2 linked regions of the Alligator mississippiensis genome follow. The protein of the gene in region 1 interacts with the protein of each later gene in a pairwise test. Links are inferred from orthologs where the notes say so. Each region holds a gene or a part of one and is shown on either strand. Other genes may lie near its edges.

What was found. The genes of interacting proteins can lie anywhere in the genome.
Region 2: the proteins of PRMT1 (region 1) and HNRNPR interact in binary tests that used the Homo sapiens proteins (3 or more experiments, as listed by UniProt). The link is inferred for Alligator mississippiensis from reciprocal best matches to the Homo sapiens genes PRMT1 and HNRNPR.

What each region holds. Positions count from the first base shown.
Region 1 is NC_081828.1:40,022,163-40,030,601, reverse strand, and holds the start of PRMT1 (protein arginine N-methyltransferase 1), read left to right. Parts: upstream 1-5,227; 5' UTR 5,228-5,280; coding exon 5,281-5,310; intron 5,311-6,314; coding exon 6,315-6,368; intron 6,369-8,069; coding exon 8,070-8,171; intron 8,172-8,341; coding exon 8,342-8,439. Other genes in the region: IRF3 (interferon regulatory factor 3), read right to left, coding at 1-1; BCL2L12 (bcl-2-like protein 12), read left to right, coding at 413-726, 1,730-2,142, 2,577-2,738, 2,816-2,922, 3,387-3,592, 3,992-4,241. UniProt on the Homo sapiens protein: Arginine methyltransferase that methylates (mono and asymmetric dimethylation) the guanidino nitrogens of arginyl residues present in proteins such as ESR1, histone H2, H3 and H4, FMR1, ILF3, HNRNPA1, HNRNPD, NFATC2IP, SUPT5H, TAF15, EWS, HABP4, SERBP1, RBM15, FOXO1, CHTOP, MAP3K5/ASK1, MICU1 and NPRL2.
Region 2 is NC_081829.1:9,933,636-9,941,466, forward strand, and holds the start of HNRNPR (heterogeneous nuclear ribonucleoprotein R), read right to left. Parts: upstream 3,195-7,831; 5' UTR 3,139-3,194; coding exon 3,058-3,138; intron 1-3,057. UniProt on the Homo sapiens protein: Component of ribonucleosomes, which are complexes of at least 20 other different heterogeneous nuclear ribonucleoproteins (hnRNP). hnRNP play an important role in processing of precursor mRNA in the nucleus.

The DNA of each region.
Region 1 (8,439 bases):
TAAAAATGGGGGTGGGAGCAGCCCCTGCCCCAGAGAAATAGAGAGAGAGAGAGAGAGAGAGAGAGAGAGAGAGAGAGAGAGATGCGCCTATGCAAATGAGCTGTAAGATCCCACCCAACCCTCATTTGCACAGAGTATTCCTCACCCCTCCCCCCGGTCCTGCGAACCGGCAGAAAGTCACGGGGCGTGGTCTGGGTAGGCCCCGCCCCCTCGCATAGCCACCCCCCCCCGTTTGGCGGAGGAGAGGGTGGGGCGCATGCGCAGTGGCCAGGTCCAGAAGTTTGAGTCCCCTTTTGGATGTAGGGGGGAACGCAGGTCCCGGCCGCTGCGGAGCTTTCCCCCCCCCCCCCTCGGGCAGGGTGAGGGGCGGCGGGGGGGACTTGGGGGCAGCTGGGTTAGGGACATTGCCCCCATGCACTGCCACTCCAAGCAAGGCTCCCAGCTCTGCTCCCCTAGGTGTCCCGGGACACCTGGGTTCAGTGGGTCCCCCCCAGGTGCTCCCGCACGGGGACACGGGCAGGCCCCTTGTGCTCCCGTGCTCAGCCCTGCCTGCTCCCCCCCCACAGGCTGGGCCATGGCGGGGGCCCCAGCGCCACCCCGTCCGCGGTGCCGAGTGCAGGCCGAAACCCGGCTGGTGCTGGAGGCATTTCTGCAGGGCCGGGGAGGCGCGGGGGCCCCCGGGCATGTGGGGCGCAGCTACCACGACCCCCAGCGCTACGCACACAGGTGAGGGGACACGGGGGGGGGGTCTGGGGCCGGGGCTAGGAAACCTCGGGGGTCTTTAGAGGCGGGTGATGGAGGGCAAACCCAGGAGCCGGGCAGGGGACTGTGGGGGGTGGAACTATGGTATAGGGGGCTCTGCAGGGAGTGTATTATGGGGGGCTCTACAGGGGCTGGGACCCTAGAGGCACCTTGGTGGTGGGTGAGGGGGGCTCTGAGCAGATCTGCAGGGGCAGGGGGGACCCTAGGAGCATCCACAGCAGTCTGAGGGGGGGCCCATGGGTATGCACTGAGGTTGGGGGAGTGGAGGAAGCCCTACAGGTATAGGGGTATATGGGGTAGCTGGGGGGGGGGGCACAGAGTTATGGGGGTGTATACGAGTAGCTATGGGGCACAGGGCTGTGTGGGTGTGTAGGGTAGCTGAGGGGAACAGGGCTATGGGGGGCCCTAGAAGTCTAGGGGTATATAGATGTAGTAGGGGGTGGGAACAGGGTTGTGGGGGGAACCCTAGAGGTATAGGAGTGTATAGGAATAGCTGCGGGGTTTATAGATTTATGGGGAGCCTCAGAGGTATGGGGGTGTATAAAGATAGCTGGGAGGACACAAAGGTATGGAAGGACCTTAAAGGTGTGGGGGGCCCTAGGGCTGTGGTTATGTTTGGGGTAGGTGGGGGGCATAGTCATATGGGGGGCCCTAGAGGTATAGGGGTAGCTGGGGGGCACAGGGCTATGGAGGTAGCTAGGGGTGTGGGGGTATATGGGGGCACAGAACCATTGGGGCATGGAAAGGTAGCTGGGGGGCACAGGGCTATGGGGGTGTATAGGGGTAGCGGGGAATATGGGGCAGCTGGGGGGCACAGTTACGGGGTGTATAAGTGTAGCTGGCAAGCATGGGAATAGCTGGGGGAGGCACAGCTATGGGGGAGTGTGGGGATGCCAGGCGTGTCCACAGGGATGGAGGGGAGCTGGGAGGGGTCTCTGGGAAGACTGGCCATGCCCATACCCCCCAGGCCCCTGCCAGAACAAGCCAGCACTCCCGGGGGGTCCCTGCGCCCTGGCTCCTGGACCCCCCTGCACGAGGACATCAACCGGGTGGAAGAGCGCAAGCACGGCTTCAAAACCAGCGTGAAGAAGCTGCTGCAGCGTCGGGCCAGCCCCCGTCACAGCCCCCCTGGCCCCCTGCCTGCCCGTGGAGACTCCCTCAAGAGGCAGAAGGGGGGCGAGGGGGAGGAGGGGGGGCGCCGTCGGTACCCCCGCTCCTTCTCCTTCAAGGGGTTGCTGCGGAGGAAGGGCCTGGCCCGAGAGGAGCAGGATCCCCATCCCCCCCCATCCCCCTCCTCGCTGCGCCCCACCTCCCTGCCTGTCACCCCCTGCTACTGCACGGACCTCCCTGCACTGGGACAGCAGGATCCCACGGCACAAGGTAAGGGGCCCCAGAGACACTGGCCAGGAGGAAACCCAGGTGTCCTAAGGCTCTAGGTCCTGTTCCTCTCAGAGTAGGGAGAAAACCCAGGCATCTGGGGAGTCCCTGGTGCCCTGACCAAACCCACCCAATGTGGACCCAATGTGCTACCCAGAGCTAGGAGGGAACCCAGGTGTCCTGGCTCCCATCCCCCCTCCCCCGTCTAACCTACCAGAACTCACTCAGCCCCCCAGAGCCCCTACACTACATCATTGTGCTTTCTGGGAGCTGGGGGAAGAACCCTAGACACCCTGGCTACCAGCCCCAACTTTATCTCACCAGACCCCACTCACATCCTAGAACTAGGAGAGGACCCCCATGCTCTCCGCAAGCTGGTGGGAGAGTCCAGATGTCCTCGCCCACAGCCCCCTGCTCTAAACAGCTCTGCCCCCCAGGCCAGCCACCGCAGGACCCTGCTCTCTATGCCCAGGCAGCCCAGAAGCTGGACAAACTGCTGAAGCAGCAGCAGCTGAATAGCCCTGGGAGCGCTAATGGGGCTCCCTCCCCCAGGCTGGGGGCCAGGACCCCCGGTGTCCAGCTGGGCATCAGGCACTCAGGTAAGCTGCTACCTGGGGCAGGGGCTCCCTGCCCTCTGGCGGAAGCCAAGTGCTCACAGGCCTGTCTTTGCCTCCAGCTCCGACAGACCACTCCTCGGAGACTGCCAGCGAGCAGCACAGGGAGCAGGTGATCCAGAGACTCATCAGCCTCCTGGAAGAGCAGGCTGAGGACATCAATCGGGAGGTACTGGCCTAAGCCCCTGCACTTGTCAGCCAGTGCCCCTCACTCCTGACCTGCAGCCCCCTGTGCCTTCCCTGGTGCTCCTCCTGCCCCACAGACTGCCCCCACCCCATGCCACTCAAGCCCAACCTCCACAAACCCAGCACAGGGCCCCTCCCCAGCCCTGTCAGTTTTCCCACACCTGAAGCCCCCTACTTCCCCCAAGTCCTAAGAGCCACTGTTATGCCCTCCCTGCAATCCTTTTCCCTAGCCCTGACAATTCCCCTCACTCCTGACCCACAGCCCCCTTTGCCCTCCCCCAGTGCCCCTTACTCTGGACCTGCAACCCCTGCTCCCCCCCTGCCCAGCCAGTGCCCCTCATTCCCAGCCTATAGGACCGTGCCTCCTCCAGGCCCTCGCTCCCGAACCGTATCCCCCTGCCCCCCCCCCAGCCCTGCTGATGCTATGACATTTCCCCTCACCCGCAGATGGAGACAGACCCCGTGCTGCGCAGCACCTTGTCCCGCATGTCCTTCCACGGCTTCTCCCAGCTGGCCGAGGCCTTCGCCGCCCGTGCGCCCCCCAGCAGCCCCAGCCCCCAGCTCACGCGCCTGGCACTCACTATGGAGCTGACCCGGAGAGTGGCTGGGATCAGCAACCATGCGGTGCAGACCCTCATGGGCTACAGCCTCCAGTACATGGAGCTCTTCGTGCCCTGGCTCCAACAGCAGGGCGGCTGGGTAGGGGGGCCAGGCCGGCCTGGGGAGGGGGCTTTGTGATGGGGTGGGATTTACATGGGGGACTGGTAGGGGATGGGAATTATGTGGGGAGGAGGGATCGCCGTGCCAGGGAAGGGGCAGCTGGGTTGGGCTGGGGAGACCAGGGGCCATAGGTTAAAGGGACACTTGGTCAGAGGGGATTGGGTGTGGTGGCCACATGGGGGGAGGCGGGGGGAAACTGTATGAACTAGGGGGCCAGGCTACAGTGGACATGGAAGGAATCTAGGGGCTGTCTGTGGGCCATGCTTGGGGTGGGAGCTGTTGGTCTATCTGGGCTGGGCCTCCCCCCTACAAGCCTCCTCCCCACCCCACAGGAGAGCATCGTGGGACAGGATGAGCTCTTCGACCTCCAGCTCGACTAGGGGGAGGAGGCAGGATGCAAGTTGGGTTGGGGGGAGGGGAGCTGGCCATCCACCCCCCAGAAGCCACCGTGATGGGGTGGCCCCCTATCTATGGGGAGGCCCCCTGGCATTCTCAGGGTACATCCAGCTGGAGGGGACCCCAAAACAGATACCTTCCCTGGGGCCATGGAGGGCCCATTGTGACCTCTTATTAAACATTTAAAAAATATTTTTAACAAAGTTCTTGATTGCTCCGGACCCTTCTTGTCCCACCTGCATCCCTCCATGGGGAAGCAGCAGGGCAGCTGCAGCCACTTCTGGGGAGGGAGTATTGTATTGGACCTCCCCCCCCGGCCTGGGGCTGCGATGCACCTGTGGGAGGGATGGCAAGGGGTCCCCCAGGGTGGGGGGGCAGAGGGGTAGCGGAGGAAGAGCGTGAAAGCATGGTATTCGCTACCTACAGAGGGGAGTGGGGGCTGGGGCTGTACCTGACAGGCATACTCTTGAACATTTCAGCGTGGGGGGGCGACCCCAGGCACGGAGAGCGCCTAGCCGATTGGTTGCATTCTCCCCAGCGGCTTACCAATGAGTTTGTTACTAGGGCCTCGGTTAGGGTTGAGGGGGCGGGGCCAGTTTTTGACTGGCAAGGCGACTGGCCAATGGCTGCGGTGGCGGGAGTGGGGGCTAGAGTGACGTATCAGGTCACCAATGGGATCGCAGGTTCAATGGGGGGGGTAGGTCCCCGTTAACGACTAGCTCCCAGCCTCTGCCAATGTAATGTTTCACTACGTTTGAGCGACATTACCGCCGCCCACTACAACAGCCACTTGACTGAGGGGGGTGGGACGCGAGCGACTGCTGTTTGCCTCTACCAATGAGAAGTTCCACTCACCGTGAGCGACATCGCTGCTGTCCAATAGAGCCACAGCCTGTGTGAGGGGCGTTGTGAGTGACATTCATCTCGTCCAATAGCCTTCGACCTACACGAAGGGGCCGCGACGGCGAAGCTGAGTGACATCTCCCTCCCTCAACGCCGCTAAAGGGGGCAGGGGCAAAGCCTCACGGTCTCCTCCAATAGCAGTGCCCCTTTGCCTGTGAGGGTGGGGCCCGCACGTTGAGCGACATCTCCGCGACCCAATGGTGGGGACCGCGGCGCGGAGCGGCCAATTGGGGTGGCGGAGGGCGGGCCCGGGCCCTCCCCCGCTATAAGGCCCAAGGGGTGGGGGGAGGGGTACTTGCTCTCCCCGGGCTTCGCACGCAAGATGGCGGAGGCCGCCAACTGCATCATGGAGGTGCGGGCGGGGGGCGCGGGCGCGCGCGGGGCTCCCGGGGGCCGTAGTTGGGGGGGGGTCCAGCCGTGCTGGCCCTCCCCCGCGTGGGGGTGGGGCCGCGGGGGTCCCACGTGGCCCGGGAACAAAGGAGGGGGCGGGGCCCCACGCCCCTCCCCCACCCGGGACCCCCGCGTGGGGCTGGGGGCCGGTGGGGGGCACGGCCCTTTCCCCTTCTTCCCGGTGCCCCGGGCCCACGTGGGGCTGAGCCGCGCGGGCACGTGGCCGGGCCAGGCGGGGGGGTCCATGGGTTTCTCTAGGGCACGTGGCGGGGGACGGCGGATCGCTATTGGGGGTAGGATCAGGGACTCCTTGTGGGGCCAGGCCGGGCGGGCAGGAGCAGGAGGACGTGGCCCGCGGGTGGGATCAGTGTGTTCCTGGGGGGGACAGCATCCAAGGTTCCATCTGGGGGACGTGGCCGGGGGCGGGGGCAGGATCAGGAGGTCGCTAGACGGTTTGGAATAGGAGCAGGAGGTCCCCTTAGGAGACTTCACTGACCCACCCCCCCCCACCTCCCCCGATTGGTTGGTATTGCTGGGAGCTTAGGGGCAAGTTCCCTGGGTCCCTCTAGGAGACGAGGCCTGCCGGGAAGAATCTGTGGGTCGTTACTGGGGGGTCAGGTCAGCCCATCTGTAGGGGACGTGGCAAGAGTAGATTTAGTTGGGTTTTTATTTTGGGGGGGGTTGGGGAGGGCTAGGATCAGCAGGTGTCTGTTATGGGAGGGTGGGGGGCACAAGCCAAGGGGTAGGATCAGTGTGTCCTGGGTCGGGGCGTGCGTGTGCGTGTGTGCGCGTGTGGGAGGCGAGGACAGGAACTGCTCCCTCCCCCTGAGCCTGTCTTCCCATCTTCCACCATCCAGCCCATACCACCTCCCCACCCCCCCTCCAGCTGCCAGGCAGGGGTCCCCTGGCCCTGCCCCCACCAGCCCTGGGCGCTCGGCGCTGACTTTCTCCCTTGCTTTCTCCTAGACGTTTGTCACCACGCTGGCTAACGGGATGAGCCTGCGGACTGCGCTAGAAGATGTAAATATCCTTTCAGTGCGTGGGCCCAGCCAGCCCCCCACCCCCAAATCCCAACTACCACCTTCCCCAGGGGAGGGGATCCCTGCACTCCCCTTGTCCCCATAGTCATACCCTGTCACTACTCCTACAGACCCTTTCTTGTGTCCCACAAATTGTCAAGGTCCCGTGTCATGTCCCGTCCCTCCCCCCCCCCCCCCAACGCGCGACAGACAGACAGTGGCCCTGTCCTCTAGACTTACGGGAGTCAGGAGCCTGGGTGCGTCCCAGCCTCGTGTCCCTTGTGTTCAGGGTCCCATTGCTCAACCCCATCCCCTTTTCCCCCTTCCCTCTCCCCTATGTAGGATGGGAGTGAGGAGCTGGTCAGTGCTGGGGTGGGGGTCTTGCAGGGACAGGCGGTGTTTGTGTGCATGTGTGTGCATGTGGCAAGGAGCCTGGAGCCCAAGCAGGAGCTGCAGGGGGTGAGGCAGGGGTGGCATAGACCCCAGTAGCCTGTATCAGGGGTGGGGGGGACCTCATGGTGTAACAGAAACCCTCACAACATGTAGAGGGAGTTGGGGGGGTGGGGCTTGGTGCAGAGTCCTGCACTGTGGCTAAAGAGGGTCTGTGTAGACTAGTGGGCATAGGAGTGACCCTGCTGGTTGTGGGGGAGACAGCGGAGCGGCCAAGATCAGGCCCCATATAGAGGTTGTGGAGAATTAAGGGAGTTGGGGCTGGGGGGAGGGAAATCCTTGCTCCTTCTAGGGCAGGGGTGGGCAAAATGCGGCCCGCCAGGCCAGTTTATCTGGCCCATGGGGCCCTAAAAATTTAGAAAATCAATATTGATCTTCTCCTGGCTGCCTGTCATGCGGCCCTTGATGGCTTGCCAAAACTCACTAAGCAGCCCTCTGCCCAAAATAATCGCTCGTCCCTGTTCTAGGGGCTGTATTCATTTCTCATTCATAAATTTCCTTAATGTTGCCCTCCTCACCTGCCCCCGCCCCTGGTTCAGCACCCCTGCTGGGGTGGGGGTTCCCCCAGGGGTATTCGGTGCACCCAGGAGTTGGGGTGGGGGGCTAGCAGCACTGAGTCGGGGGTGGGGGTGGAATTTAGGTGGGCCCTGCCCTAGGTCCTTACTGCTACAGCTCCTTCCCTCCCCAGTCTCTGGGGCCAGGGACATTAGGCTGTAGCCAGTGGGGACCCCAGGGTGGGGGGGACAGTGGAGCTCCCCCAAAGCAGTGCCCCAGGGGGCCGGCTGGTGGGACCTGGTGGCAGCAAGGACAAGTTCAGGGCCAAGTCTGTGAGGTGGTGGGGGGTAACTGCCCCTTCCCGCTCCTTTCTAGGGAGACACACAAGGTGCAGAGATCCCCAGAGTGGGCTCTGCTGTGGGTCTGATGGGCACAGCAGGGGAAGGGGACCCAGCCCCACTCTGGTGCGTTGGGGGGGGTATGTGGGACTAGTTGTGCTTGCAGGGCTGACTGGGGGGGTGGAATGTATACTACAGGTTGGCAGGACCTGTGGCTCTGTGGGGTATATGGGGCTGGCTGGGCCTTGTGGGTCTGTTGGGGGGCATGACTAGTATGTACAGGTTGGGTTGGCCCATGGGAGTAAGGTGTGGGCAAGGCAGTGGCTGGGCACGTGCCAGCCATGGGGCCTCAGCCCTGGTTGTGACCACAAGCACGCAGCCTTGGTGCATACGTCTGATCGCTCCTACCCCTCCTGCAGGTTTCGTGCACCCAGCCTGAGGGCAGTGGGAAGCCCCCGGCTGAGGAGATGACATCCAAGGACTACTACTTCGACTCCTATGCCCACTTTGGCATCCACGAGGTCTGGGCGGGGCCCTGGGGTGGAGGTTGGAGGGGGAGGGGTGCCCACTCCAGGTGATGCTGGAGGACTGATAGGGGTGGGGGCTAGAGTGGCTTTCCAGTACTGCCTCCCTGGAGGAGGGGGCGTTGGGCAGTCTCAGGGCTCTCCCTGCTGATCCCCCTTGCCCCCAGGAGATGCTGAAGGATGAGGTTCGCACCCTGACCTACAGGAACTCCATGTTCCACAACCGGCACCTCTTCAAGGACAAAGTAGTCTTGGATGTGGGCAG
Region 2 (7,831 bases), on another chromosome or scaffold:
CTCTTAAATATAATTTTATTCTGAAATGTGACAAAATACTATGGATGTGGAGAATATTCATGGCTCAGTTATTTCAAGAAAATATTTCTATCTGCAAATAGAATACATTTCCTCCGATCTACTATTTTTTGTAAACCTCATTTTCTCTAACTGGGTTGCATATGTATAACTGAAATACAAGAATTACAGTGATGGGGGAGTGGGGGAGGAGGAGAAAGAGAGAAAGAAAATACCTAGTCTTCCTTCCTTAGCAGTGTGCGCTACGTGGGACAACTAGGGATAAAATCTAGTAAGATACTTTGCCACCAAAAACAACACACAACTGAATGCACAAAAAAAAAAGAGTCTGATTAAGGAATACCTTTGCTTTCCCTTTCCATACTTGAAATGAACTTCAAAGATTTAATATTTAAAAGTATGCAACACTAAAAAGATGACCACAAAATCAGGTAAGTGTATATAGATGTTGTATGTGGTATCTGATATGGCTCAACTTCTGACCTGTCATAAATAAAAAGCACTGCATTCAAGTAAATTTGGATAGTGTAACCTTCATGTGCAGGCACAGAACTATGCCTAATTTCAGAGGGTTAGTGAATTGTTTTGCCCCAGATGTGTGCAAAAGTCTCAGGTGAAAGATATACATATATATGTAGTGTCCAGAAAGAGATGAATTCAGAAGGTGCACATGAAGATGTACCTCCTGAAAGCAGTTACTGATTATCAGTATATATATTGTGTGTGGGGATTGTTCCTGGAATACTAATAAGACCATGTGGAAGTGCAGTCAGATGTGTTACTAAAAACTCCATATTGCAACTCCCAGCTACACAACTGAAGACAACAGGAACTTTATACTATTAAAGTATACTTCCAACTACTTTGTATTTTTAATTGGGTATCCTGCCCATACCCTGTCTCACAATGTGTTACTGTAATAACTAGCTCTCATGAGGTTCTACTCACACAAACTAGGAGGTCAAATTTAATCTGGTTTTGAATTACCTGGAAAATGCTTTTATTTTAAAGAAACAATAAAAAAAAAATCAAAATGGTCAAGCCTCCATGTTTTCCCCCATAGATGCTTTCTATTAACATGACAAATCAAAAGAAAGTATGGCAGCTGAAAATAGACTTCTCTGGACTGCTATTTAGCTATAGTTTGACCACCATGGAGCAGAAGTGGACATAGTCAACTTGAACATGCAACAGATATAACTAAAAAGTTCTACAGAATTTGGACTCTGAGCCCGATTCTGGTTTTAATATTCTTTGCAGATAACTTGGAGGTCTAAAAGTAGGACAGTTAAAATACTGAATGCCAACCATTTACATTATTAATGCATCAAAAGTAGTTGTTTTAAGCTTGTAGCTCCCCTTCCCAGCATCCCTGGAGCACAGCAAGACAATCTGATACCACGCAAAAGAACTACTTTTAGTCTAAAGCCACAGTACGTCTCAAACCAAAAAGGAAAAAATAAGGAAGTTATGAATGAGGGGAGACAAGGGGTTATAATGGGAAGCTGAACTCTGACATGATTACTGAAGGACCTTCCAGTCACTAATGAGATTCATTCAAGTTTTGAAAGAAGGTATATTACAACTGTTTCTCTCATACAAGTAAACTGTGGTGTAGTAAAAACAACCGTAACTTGGTCTTATTTAGAACTTACTTAAAAAACACGCTACAAAATATTCACTGGTTCATAGTTATGAACACAGCACAAGGTTGGTCAAGTTTTTATTGGGAAGATACTGCCTCTACTAATCTCAATCTTTCTCAATTTGATTTCTACTACAGCATGTGCTACTGTTAATGAGTATTTTACACCCTCACCCCTCCAACACAGTAATTCTTAGACTTAAATCACAACATGTACTAGAAAGTTTGGGGGATCTCAATTCCCATTCTTGGCATACAGAAAGATGGGCACAGCTCTCAGGCTGAAAACTACATAGAAGACACTAATGAAGGTACCCAACGCTGCCTGTCATGGCCTTAGACACTCCTACCACGATTTCACGGCAGTCAGTTAGCAGCTATACTAGCGCTGTAGGTGGTCAGCGCAATTAGATCACTGCACAAAGTGATGGTATTATATTAACCTGACCAGTGGTAGATGAACTCGATATGCTGCCAGTTCACTCAAATTAAGCACTGGGGTGGCTTGTAAGCATGTGTGGGGCAATGTCTGAGGGATAATTCAAAGCGACCCTGCAGAGGGGTCTTAACATTCATTCATTTGAATGTCTCAATGCCTCTTCTACCTACTCCACACAGCACGGGTGCCAAGATACATTTATTTAACACGTGAGCTTCCCCGCAAAAAAGAAAAAGAACAAAAACTGCTTTGCAAGACAGATCATCAAGCTCCACATGTAACAGAGGGACATGGATATTAAATTCCCGCTTTTAAAATCAACAAGTTTTGCAGATAGATCTGCAAAAATAATAATAAAAAAAAATGATGGGGAAGCAAAGCAAAAAAGCCAGTCGCATCCCAGGCGGGCTGAGCTGAGCTGAGCAGCGGAAAGCGGCTCCCCCCAGCGCTTGCGCGGGCGCTAAGGCACCGGGAATCGCTCGGCGCGGCCGGCGGGAGAGGCCGATCCTCGCGGCCGGGTATTTCCTGCCGCGCAAAACATCGCGGCTGCCAGACTTTCCTGGGAGGAGGCTGGGGAGGCCCCGCAAAAGCGCGAAGCCCCCCCGAGCAGGGCCCGGCGGCTCGCAGCGAGGCGGGCGGGCACACAAGCAAGCACGTCCTCCTCCGCCGCCTGCGAGCGCGGGGCCGGGGCCACCGAGGCCAAGCTTCCCGCCCCCCCCGCGCACCCACACGCACACACGCGCGCGCCCCGGGCCCGGTGCTCCACGTGGCCGGGCGCTGCCCCACCCCGCCAGGCCTGGGCGGCCCGGGCCCCGCCGCCTCCAGGCCCGGCGCGGCTGCGCGGGGCCCGCCTCCTCCGCCAGCGCCAGGCCGCGCCCCTCCCCGCCGCCGCTGCTGCGCGGGGCCTGCCCGCCTCGCCTCGGCCCCCCCCCGCCGGCGGCGCCGCGGGACTCACCGGAGCGGGAGCGGGGCCTGCGCGGCGCAGCTCGGGCCCAAGCAGCGACGGCAAATGGCGCGCGCTCCTCCTTCTCCTCATGGACGGCGGCGCGACCCCGGCGGCACGCGGGGTTTCCCGGAACTGCTTCCAGGGACCGCGGCGTCGCCGCCGCCCGCCCACCGTCAGCGAGCCTCGCGCCCGACGGACGGCGCCGCCAGCCAATGGGAGCGGCGCGGGAGCGGGGCGCTCGGCCCCCTCGGCGCTTGGGCCCGGCCAATGGCGGCACGCGCGAGCCGGCGAGGCCCGAGCGCTGGGGTTTAAAGGGGCAGCGCCGCCGAACAAAGGGAGGGAGGTGGCTTCGTCCCGCGAGCGCCCCCTATCGCCAGGGGGCCGCGCCCGAGAAACCCGGTCCAGCTGCACCGAGGAGGCCACGCGTGTGTGCGCACGTACAGCCCAAGTATACACTGTACAGACACGGACCTAAGGGTGTGTCGATACACACGTATATCTGGTAGATACGTGCATGATAGATAGATACAAGGGTGTAGGTTGTAGCCGTGTTGGTCTAAGGAGATAGGCAGACAAGGTTCCTTGGGTGAATTTGATATCTTTTATTAGACCAACCCAAATGGTTGGAGAATAATTATTAAGCAAGCTTTCGGGTTCAAAAACCTGATAGATAGATAGATAGATAGATAGATAGATAGATAGATAGATAGATAGATAGATAGATAGATAGATAGATAGATAGATAGATAGATATAGGGGTGTAGGTTGTAGCCATGCTGGTCAAAGGACACAGGCAGACAAAGGTCTTTGGGTAAATCTGATCTCTTTTATTAGACCAACTCAAATAGTTGGAAAAATTCTTCTTAGCAAGCTGTCGGGTTTAAATACCCTTCATCAGGCTGAGGAAGCATCTGCACTTGGTGTGTGCTCTTGATAGATAGATGTCATTATGCACCCTTCGGTTAGTCTCTAGGGGTGCATCTACATGTTCAGTTAATGCACTTTAGATTACGTGTAGTAAATCTCGTACCTCCATTGTGAGGTACTGGGAAAATGGGCCTGAGCCTATTTTAATGTGCACTAGGCTAAAGAGCGTGTTTTTTGTGATGCCTTAACGTACATTAAAATAGGCTAGTGTGCATTAAGTCGTGCGTGTAGACGAGCCATATATAACCAATACACACACTCTATATGTAGTGTGTGTATATAGTCTGTATGGTGCATATCTACCCCACCTGGTACTTGCCTCAAGGCAGCTGCTGCAGCTGGGTCAGTGGTGCTGTAGCCATGCTGGCCCAGCCAGGATGTCATACAGGTTTCCCTTACTTTATGCAGGTTCTGTATGTGCGAATTTGCTCTTATGCAATGATTCTTTTCATACTAAAAATTCATTATAGGCGAGGTAAATTCACTCTTATCAGTGTGATGGAAGCCTGCTGCCCAGGGCAGCTGGTGCCCGTGCTTCTGCAGCTGCCCCGGGAGCGGCGCAACATCACATGCATCCCACCGCTGGGCGGGCAGGGGGCACAGTGCAGCCAGCAGCACTGATCCTGGAGCAGCTGCAGCTGGGCACAAAGTGCCGCACGCAGTGGCAGCCACCCGTCTGGTGTTGGAAAGTACCAAAATTGTCTTAAAGTGGTAGGAATGGATTTGGGAGTCAGTACAGTCGAGGTCTTGGAACATATCCCTACTTGTTGCATTGTGAAGTGGGTTCCCTTTATGTGAATTTGAGTTATGCACTGTTTTCCAGGAATGCATGTACAGCATAAAGTCAAGGAAACCTGTAAGTGTGTGTATATATTAAAAATGTGTACGTATATGATAGATACATAACTGTGTGTGCATGCAGAAAAGGACCTGGGGCTTACAGTGGACAATAAGATGATTATAAGTCAGCAATGAGCCCTTGTTGCTTGTTGCCAAGAAGGCTAACAGCATACTGAGCTGCATTAGTAGGAGTATTCCCAGCAGATCAAGGGAAGTAATTATTCCCCTCTACTCTGTGCTAGTGAGGCCACATCTAGAGTATTATGTCCAGTTTTGCCCCTCCCCACCCACTACACAAAGGATGTGGACAAATTGGAGAGTGCACTGAAGGGCAACAAAAATGGTTCAGGGGCTGGTGCACATGACTTATAAGGAGAGGTGGAGGGAACTGGGCTTATTTAGTCTGCAGAAAAGAAGACTGAGAGGGGATTTAATAGCAGCCTTCAACTACCTGTAGCAGGGTTTCAAAGAGGATGGAGCTGGGTTGTTCTCAGTGGTGACAGATGACTGAACCAAGAGCAATGGGCTCAAGTTGCAGCAAGAAAGGTTTAGGTTGGATATTAGGAAAAAAAATTCTCACTAGGAGGGTGGTAAAGCACTGGAACAGGTTACCCAGAGAGGTGGAGGAATCTCCGTCCTTGCGGGGCTTTACAGCCTGGCTAGACGAAGCCTTGGCTGGGATGATCTAGTTGGGGATAGTCCTGCTTTGAGCAGATAGTTGGGCTAGATGACTCCCTGAAGTCCCTTCCAACCCTAATTTCCTATGATTCTATAACCTTAATTTTCTATGATTCTATAGTTCTATGATATATATCTATCTACACACACTTTGGTTAGACTATATGTTGGCTACACATAGACTATATATTGGTTATATATAGATAGATATGTGTGTGATATATCTATAGATATATATATACACTCAGAGATAGATATGTGTCCGTATGTATGATATAGATATCTATATATACAGATATCGATATATACAGATAGATAAGGGGCATGCTGAACTTTCTCTAGCGGTGCAAAACCTTTCAAACTACATGAGAGAGGTGTTTGGGCAGTCATCTACTGGATATGTTTAATATTAAGTGTACTGTTACCAGCTTCATGCATTAGTGCTTAGCTTCACTGCATTCAGACATGTTAAGGGCACCTCATTTTATTGTGCACATGCACAAAACCTTCATGTTCCCTTCATTACAAAGCATGCAGGGGTAGTGCCCTTCAAGACACAACACTGAGGTGTTGCCTTAGGGTCTCCCTCAGCCACACAGCATCTGGGCAAGCACCAGTAGCTAGCTGCCCCACTCTCTGGCTGCTCAAATTCAGCAGTCTGACAATTTCCATGTGCCACTCTGCTGGCACTTTGCAAACAGTGTTTGACCAACTGCAAGCAGCAGCAAGTTCAGGGGTACTGGATCCACTAAGGTCCATCAGGCTTTCAACAAAAGCATTTTTAATGGCCATCCTGCACCTGCTTTCTGTTGGCAATTTAATTTCTCTTTGTCACCAAGTATCTAGTGGATGGCTTCATGAGCCAAGGCTGCAAAATGTGGGCTGGGTACCCCAGAAACACCATTGTCATTTCAACGTTAGCAGTACGAAGGTACCTGCTGGGGAAGAATGTCTTTGCCCGTATCTTTTGAAAAAGTTCTGCATTCTTCTAAATGTGAGCATTATGTACCTTTCCTGGCCAGCCAGAATTAATGTCTGTGAAATGTTCTGGGTAACCCATCGGTGCCTGCATGAGCATGGAAAATAACCCTTTCAGTTTGTAAACTCGGGATAGAGGCAGGAAGGAACTGGGATACCTGTTCTGTTTATTGACCTCCACAGTTAAGAAGCTTTTGAAGCAAGGGGATTCTTATGTCCTGCTCATTGCCCAGTCACAGTTGTCTGCAGCAGGATAATCACGCTTAATAGTTATGCATACACCCATGATGACTGCCCACCCCATCCCCTTTTCAACCACAAACTAACTGTTCACAGACTGTTGCCTACAACACCTTTTTTAACCAGTTAGTCTCTATGGTACCTCCCTGCTGTGCCTTCTGCCTGACATTACTCGGAGGCTGCAAGCTTCCAGATATTAAGCCATCTACTTTTCAACTGTAAAAGCAGCTCTCCCTTTCTGCTCTAAAAAGGCTGAGATGAGGTTAACATATACCTCCAGAAACATGGCCCCTTCCTTTGGAAGTCTGCAGCTCTTGCTCATTATCCTGGATTCACAGCACTGATTCCTGATTGGTGCAACTTGCACTTTTACACACTCTACATCAGGGGTGGGCAAAATAGGGCCCACGGACTAGAGGGTCTTTGTCCAGCCTGCGGTGGTTCCCTCAGTCCTGCCTGGCCTAGGCACTGTCCGGCTGTGGCACATCCTGCCACCCCCTGGGCATGCAGTGGGGCTGGGATGGCTCCATGGCTGGATTGCCTTTCTAGGCAGGTGGTGGTGGCTCCTTCTAGCTGCTGCTACCGGCCCCAGCCTCATGGTATTGGTGGGGACCCACATGCACAGCCTCAACCTGGCCTGCCCTGTGCCTGCTCCAGACTCACCCACCCAGGCTGAGCAGCAGCCACAGTGGTGGCAGTAGGGCAGGAACTGTTGCTCAGTATGGGGGGAAAAGCCCCTCCCCCTTGCCACTGCCCGGCGCTCTCTGCTACAGCCACCTAGAGCTCATGCCAAGGCTGCACTGTGGCTGGTCTGCACTGCCAGCACTGCCCCACTGGGCAGCCTGGAGGCAGCTGTGACAGCAGCGGAGATGCAGGATAGCACAGTGCGGTCTCCAAGCTGCTGCAGCAAGAAGGGCTAAGCAGTTTTTCCCCCATGCTAAGCAACAGTTTCTGCCTGGCCACCACCGCTGCTCAGTGCAAGTGAATCTGGAGCTGGTGTGGGGTGGTCCATTTTGGGGCTGTGCTTACAGGTCCCCACTAGTACTGTGGGGCTAGGGCCAGCAGTGGCAACCAGAAGGAACCACTCCTGCCTGGGTTGTCTAGAAAGGCAGTCCAGCCA